Linked DNA regions of Sus scrofa. The protein of the gene in region 2 interacts with the protein of the main gene of each other region in a biochemical or structural test. Links are inferred from orthologs where the notes say so. Each region holds a gene or a part of one and is shown on either strand. Other genes may lie near its edges.

Region 1 (3,522 bases), on a different chromosome or scaffold from region 2:
TTCTGCTTTTTTGAGTAATGAATACATACTGTCTTAACTATTTTTTGCTTAGTATAACACGGAAGAAGATTTAACTAAATGTCATGTAGAAAACTCTTAAACATACTCCTTCTAGGAGTTCCCGTCGTGGCGCAGTGGTTAACGAATCCGACTAGGAACCATGAGGTTGCGGGTTTGGTCCCTGCCCTTGCTCAGTGGGTTAAGGATCCGGCGTTGCCGTGAGCTGTGGTGTAGGTTGCAGATGTGGCTCGGATCATGCGCTGCTGTGGCTCTGGCATAGGCCGGTGGCTACAGCTCCGATTCGACCCCTAGCCTGGGAACCTCCATATGCCGTGGGAGTGGCCCAAGAAATAGCAAAAAGACAAAAAAACAAAACAAAACAAAACATACTCCTTCTAAGTTGTATGCATACCAGTTATCTCACTGATAATTTTCAAAAAGTATAGTTATGAGTTGCACAAAATGAAAACAGGTGATGCATACTCTGGAAGCAAAAATAAATCCTAGAAAACATCAAATAGTTTTTTAAACTTTTTTAAAAAGTTTAAAACCTGAAACCTCATGGTTCCTGGTCGGATTCGTTAACCACTGCGCCACAACAGGAACTCCTAAACTTTTTTATTTTAGTTTTTCTGTTTGTGTTTTAATGTCAGTATTCCTTCAGAGATGTCACTCATTCTGTTTACTTTAAACAAAGCAATCAATCCATCCTTTGAAAACTTGATCTGGAAACCTACTGATAAGATGTCCTTGCTTCCATCAGAACTCTTTCCAGATCAGCTTATATAACTCCTGTTGTGACTAAGGATTATCAAAGCAGAACTGTTGTCTCTCAGCTGTAGCAGTTCTTCTACTTCCAACGTGTTTCCTGCTAATCCCATGAAAAATGAGTATAAATTTGTTAACAAAGCCAATAACTAGTCCAAATAGGTAAAAAAAAGTGGATGGTCATCAGGGAGAGAAAACACTCATCAGATACTGTTGGCTAGAGTAGATTAAACAAAGAAATGATATATGTGAGTTAAGTACCATAAGGTAAAAGGATGCCCCATGTTACCACGAAGCTAGTAATAGAAAAGTTTCAGTTTAAAAGGGATTTATCTGAAATAAACCATAATATGAATAATCCACACTGGACAAATAAGGTGGGTTTTTTTTTTTCCATTTACTAAAAGGTCAGTTTTATATGTTACAGCCTCATATTTGACTGAGAATCAGTACAGCCTGGAAGTCGAACATAACAGTTCTGAAGACAGATTGCTGGGTTGTAATCCCAGACTCTTGGGCAAGTTGCTTCCTTTATCCAAGCATCCCTTTCCTTAACTGAAAGGAGGAGGTGTAATTATTACACCTCTTTGTGCCTCAGTTTCCTCACTTGTAAATTAGGAAGAAAATCAGCACTTGCCTCATAAAATTGGCATGATGCTTAAATAGGTGAATGCATTCAAAGAACTCAACAAATGACACTTTCATTACTTTTAGCATCAGTATTAATATAAATCACTAGATATGGTGTAGCCAGTCACGTAGGAGATGGAATTTGTTTTCTGTTCCCATGATTTCAGGCAGATTCACCGATGCTGGCATCCCATTATCTAACCATCATATCAAAGAACATGGAGCTGGCCCCAGGCATATTTTCAGAATGTTAGCATCCTCTAACCATGAGAAATGAACATCCCCAACATGATTTTAGTTTCAAATGCTCCTTCACTTCCACTTCTGATTCTCGGTCATTTTTGAGATCTGACCTTGCCATTCCTCATGTATTATGGAGGGAATATATGGAAACTGAACAAACTTCTCAATTCACTGGTAAAATCCAATCCAAGTCTCACTGCTTTTGAGCAAAGGGTTGAATCCAGTAGCATGATGAATGACTATTCCTCAAAGCAGTCTTACATAAAGGCCATTTCGAAGGAACATGGACCTGTGCCAAACGATGTGGAGACCTAGCTGATCCCCAAGCGTCTCAGGCAGGTCACGTGGTCACAGGAAGGACAATATGCCAGAGCTGGGTAGGCAGCATAGAAGAAGCTGTCACCTGTGTATCCACAGCCTCAACCCACCGAGAAGTTCTTCATTCATTTCTGTAAGCTATATTAAAGGTTGCCTCATGAACCCCATCTTTAGAGCCCACTCAGTGGAAAGTTAATGCTTAAAATGTAGTTTGTAGTAAGCAGATGTTAGAGCTTTTCAGTTTGCCTCAAACCTGCCAGGGGTGGTATTTGATTAAATAAACTCAACGGCTTAAGTACTTAAATTGGATTTGAGATGTGCCTTATAAATGTCACTTGCAAAACATTTTCTCAGACTTCCCTTGTGCAATTACTATGTCCATTCTCCAGCCTTTGGTTATGCCCTGAAGAGGCCGTATTTTGACTGGGCAGAAGGAGGAATGTGCTTAATGTTGAGCAACCGAACCCTTTTCTTAGTCCGTGGTTTAATTGTTTCTGAAAATTGTCAATGCCACAGGCAACAATCATGTCGGGGAGTACGATGAGTTTGAATCACGAGGCCCCTACACCTCGCAGTCAGCTGGGGCGACAGGCCAGCTTCCAGGAACGGAGCAGCTCACGGCCACACTATAGCCAAACCACTCGGAGCAACACTCTGCCCTCAGATGTGGGCAGGAAGTCTGTCACCCTGAGGAAAATGAAACAAGAAATAAAGGAGATCATGTCCCCAACGCCTGTGGAGCTGCACAAGGTCAGGAAGCTTTCTTTTCTTCCCTTGGGGTCACATTTCGCAGGCATTGGGCACACCGTGGGCGTCCTGGTGCAAGCCTGATCGTGACATCCTACTGTGGGCTCAGCCCAGGGGAGAGGCCAGAGCAGTAAGGCAGATCATCAGAGATACTGTTCTCAAAACAAGATCTTTGAGCGGTGATCTCATAAAATGGGAAACATGGGCTTTCAAACAGGGGGTTGATCCAAAATGTATTTCTGGCTGAAATCTTCTCACAGAAGTTTGAGGTTCCAGGGTCACACGGTGCTTTAATGAATCGATCGGTTATTCCAACTTCATTGCAAAGGGGAAGGATTTTCTAAATGTCATTCATTGCTAGCTTCAGTGAAAAGGGATTTCAGTGGTGTTGGAAGCTTAATCATCAATTACAGACTTCTCAGTAGATGGGTATATTATTCAGGGGACTTGAAGTTCCCTTGGAGACATGATTCGGATGTCTTGGGTCAGGAGAGGGTAAGCCCTGGTTATGTTCCATCTCTGCTATGATAATTGCTTCACTGTACTTCTTGGAAGAAAACCCATGATTGCAAACAGAACTGAATTTGAGTTGCTGGCAGAGTTTAATAAGGCATATGTAGGTGACAGAGTCTGTGGAAGCCTGGGCCAGGGAAAGCAGTGAAAGGGAGGTTTCTCTTGTTTTCTTTTGTCAAACTCTAATGCTTGTTGTCGCTATTAATATGTAAGGATGTACAGATAATAACAATCTCAGCCCATTTTTCTTGGGAGCCAAGACCTTCGCTGTAGTTAATAATCTGTTGACTAGGAATGAGTTAT
Region 2 (4,228 bases):
CAAAGGAAGTTTATTAAAAGGTATAAACTATCCAAGATTGCAGGTGCAAATATATTTACCATATCTTTTTATATATGCTTATATATACTTTACATGCTATGTAATATACATTATTATCTGTTATACACACACACATATATAATGTGCTTGAGCATGTTTAGCTTTTAATTCAGTTCAGAACTTTTTACTATTTCTTTTCCAATCTGAATATTTGATTCTGCTTATCCTAGTCCAAGTGAACCAAGAAGGTCCAATTGTAGGATAAAAGAACAGACATGTATCATTGCATTTCAAAATGTGTTTGGTGAGACCAACAGTGTAGATTTGGTTAATGAGCCGAGGTTATGCTTTTTTTCTGGAAAGGTCACATTTCATATTCAGTTTTCTGAAGTTTTGGTTGCATAATCTGTGGAAGGCATGAATACCCATGTCCGCCTAACGGGAGGTTTCTGTAAATCGTCATTCACATTAGAATTCCTGATGGGAGCAAGTACAGTACTGCGGCCAAAGACAAACAGACAAGTCGGGCTGGGGGAATCTCAGATAGTCTTGGCTGGAGGGGATGACTTTGGGAGAATTTTGCAGATGAGGAGAACTGAGCTGGGCAGCACTCCCCTGACTGCAAAACGCAGCTCTTTCTATAGTACACCTTGAGTCTCCGCCCCCTTTCCCCCAGATGCCTCTTATCTGTCCCCCGAGCTGCTAAATATAGCCGTCTGCCTATGCACCCGCACACCCCATTCTATCTGCCATATCTCGGTTACAGAGTGGTCCTCCCCAGGGTCATTCTCTGTACACACTCCGTATTTCCAGCCAACGAGGAGCGTGAATCCAACAGAGAGAGAGACAAACAGAGATAGATTGGAGCCTGGCACGGGGCACATAAGGTAGCACGTTCGAGAGAGCCGGCCCCTGGATTAGTCTTCCGAGTTTGTTTTAAACCCCGTCATCTCCGGACCACCTTTAGGAGATCCCTCTGCGCCTCCGCCCTCCTGCAGTGAAATGCAGCCTCTATCCAGCAGCGACAAGTAAAGTAAAGTTCAGGGAAGCTGCTCTTTGGGATCGCTCCAGAACGAGTTGCGCCTGGAGTGATGTTTAAGCCAACGTCAGGGCAAGGCAACAGCCCCCTGGCCGGCTTCCAGCACCTTTGTAATGCATATGAGCTCGGGAGACCGGTACTTAAAGTTGGAGACCCGGGCCCGGGAGTTGGCGGAGCGCGCTCGCGCCGGGCTGCACTTGCTCGCGTCCGGCCGCCCCGCTCCCCGGGACGGGCCGGCTCCCGGGGCAGGGCCAGAGCTCGCGTCGCGGCGGGACATGCGCCGCGCCGCCTCTAACCGCGGGCTGTGCTCTTCTTCCAGGTGGCCGGCCGGCTGCTGAGCCCTCCGCCGCGGGGGGAAACGGTTTGCGCCTTGCCCGCGGCCACTGACCATGACCATGACCCTACACACCAAAGCGTCCGGCATGGCCCTGCTGCACCAGATCCAAGCCAACGAGCTGGAGCCCCTGAACCGCCCGCAGCTCAAGATCCCCCTGGAGCGGCCCCTGGGCGAGGTGTACGTGGACAGCAGCAAGCCCGCCGTGTATAACTACCCCGAGGGCGCCGCGTACGACTTCAACGCCGCGGCCGCCGCCTCCGCGCCCGTCTACGGCCAGTCGGGCCTCGCCTACGGCCCGGGGTCGGAGGCGGCGGCGTTCGGCGCCAACGGCTTGGGGGGCTTCCAGCCGCTCAACAGCGTGTCTCCGAGCCCGCTGGTGCTGCTGCACCCGCCGCCGCAGCTCTCGCCCTTCCTGCACCCCCACGGCCAACAGGTGCCCTATTACCTGGAGAATGAGCCGAGCGGCTATGCGGTGCGCGAGGCCGGCCCTCCCGCCTTCTACAGGTACCCGCGCCGCCCGCCGCGCCACGTCGGGGTGGCCGCCGCGCACCCGGCGGCGGGAGGGAGCGGGGGGCGAGGGGCCGCGCCGCCGGGAGCTCGCGGGGCCCGCAGGCCGCGGGGCTGGGCACCCGGCAGCCCGGCCGCCGCCGGCGCCGCGGACGCGCGACCCGAGGGCTAGGGCGCGACCCGGCCCAGGGTCACGGGTGGATCTCGCGTTCGAGAGTCAAGTTCTCCGGCCTGGCAGCTTAAAAAAAAAAAAAAAAAAAAAAAAAATTTCTACTCTCCACCCCGCCTACTGTCTGCGTGAGAAGCAGGTCCGAAACCCCGTGTGCTTTCCAACTAAACCAGTATTAGAAAACCGTGCAAAGCAGAGGTTATTTGTGGGGAGAAACGCCCCAGACCAAATAAGCACAAGGTGCTTTGAGTCCCTAGAAAAGGTCCCGCTTTGGCTGTAGGTGTTGGGGCAGGCGGAGCTCAGAGTTTTCTTTTTTACATAGTCTTATTATTTTACAAATTTGTTTTAACGTGCTTGCAAAATTTCCTTTCACCTAGAATTTCGGATTGGCTATGTGCACGCTGTGCCGCTGGTGAGCTGGTGATGGTGATGAGGGGGTGCTCATTTCCTTGGGAAGCGGTTCCTAGCAGCCCTTTGCTTGTCCTCCCTGTCCCACCTCCGAGGGAGGCTGTAGGACTGACCGAGCGCTGCTCAGATGAGCAAGGGTTGAATGGGTCTCAAGGAGTTTCTGATTTCTGAGTTATCTGGCGGAGTCCGTGTCAGAGCAGCTTGCTGGCAGAAGACTTCTGACAGCCGGAGATTTATAACTGTCCTGTGAGTTAAAAACATGCCACATCGAAGCACGAGTGTTTTGAAATACTTCCCTGCCAGCTAAGTTTCATTTCTGGCCTGCGGGGCTGAGAATGCCCTGGGAGTGGTGTGTATGGGTTCAGCCCAGTTCTGTGCCTTTCATTCTCAGGAGAAGCAACAGATAGTTAGTCGTTCAGGATAGACAGGAACACTTTTGTGACTTAAGAGGCAAGTGTTTTTTGTCCTATTTTTTTCCCCCTAGTAGACCCTATACTTTCCTTTGCTCCTCTTCCTCCCATTTTCCCTTTGACAGTTTCTCCCTTCTCTTCCTGATGGACTTTGCAGAGGGTTTAGGCAGGGGGTCCTGGTGGGTACCTGCACCCTAGGTGCTGCTGGACAGGGATAGCCTGGGTGGGGTTGGGAGGCCTCCCAGCACCCTGGTGGCTGGATGCTGGGTTAGGCACTGCCTGGCTGGACACTGCTGGTGTGTGGACGTGCCCTCCACCCTCACCCAGACCCTTCTGTATTGCAAGCTGTGGGCCGTTTTTCTATTCAGCATCTATTTCCAGAGATATTTATAGCAGAAGAAACGGGAGGAAGGTGCATCGTGGCCCTAGAGAATTCTGGAGGCAGCCGCTGGGGGTATCTGAACATCTGCCACATCCTTCAGCCCCCTCAGAGGACCTTAGAATGTCACACAGCCAAGCAGGTCCATCCTGAGTTATTACTTAAAACACAAACAATGAACAAAACTTTAAAAAGTTGGCCTCTATCGAATCATTTTAACTTGTTTTCTGCAGGGTTAAAATGGAAAGAGAAAAAGAATTTATTCTGCCCGCTTTTTTTAAGTGTTAGAATCAAATATGACAATTAAATCTAATTCACACAACATTTTAAACTCCTTGATGTGAAGGAAGGCACTGATAGGACGTGAATTCCATAACCTTATGGTAGACTCCAGAAACAGTTTTCTTTTCCATTTAATTTTCAGTTCTTTTCTTGCAAATTAATGCCACTGAATTTCAATGGACACTAATGAGACTGCTTCTCAGTGGATTATTTACTGCCCTGCTAATAATTACAAAGTGAACATGGTCAAATAAAGAGGGGAATCACATTTTATTCAAAATTGTTCAGCATCCTGGTGGCAAATAATATCACTATAACATGCCCATCTTAAACTTTCTGCATTCGATGATATTCAGATATTTTTAGAATAATAAAAAAGTGATATGGAACTTTCAACTCACCCACATTGGATTCTGTGTGGAAATTCAGTTTTAGAATGATCATTCTCCTTTGTAGTTTATTTCCCATAACATCCATCCTTCCTTTCTTTTCTTTTCTTTTCTTTTCTTTCTTTGAATTCCGCCTCTTATTACCCAAGAAAGAGGGGAAGGATCTATAAAATAAGTTATTTCAAATGGAGAGATGTTACTTCATATTTTTTCCCCTCTCAGTTTTGCTGTTTGAATAACTTTTGGTAAAAAAGAAAAGAATTCATTGGACTCTTTTAGGAAACTTTAATTTTCTTCAGTACTTATCA

What was found. The genes of interacting proteins can lie anywhere in the genome.
Region 1: the proteins of ESR1 (region 2) and GRIP1 form a complex in vitro, tested with the Homo sapiens proteins (2 studies listed by BioGRID and IntAct). The link is inferred for Sus scrofa from reciprocal best matches to the Homo sapiens genes ESR1 and GRIP1.

What each region holds. Positions count from the first base shown.
Region 1 is NC_010447.5:30,724,392-30,727,913, reverse strand, and holds part of GRIP1 (glutamate receptor-interacting protein 1), read left to right. Parts: intron 1-2,475; coding exon 2,476-2,709; intron 2,710-3,522. UniProt on the Homo sapiens protein: May play a role as a localized scaffold for the assembly of a multiprotein signaling complex and as mediator of the trafficking of its binding partners at specific subcellular location in neurons.
Region 2 is NC_010443.5:14,488,366-14,492,593, reverse strand, and holds the start of ESR1 (estrogen receptor), read left to right. Parts: upstream 1-1,428; coding exon 1,429-1,880; intron 1,881-4,228.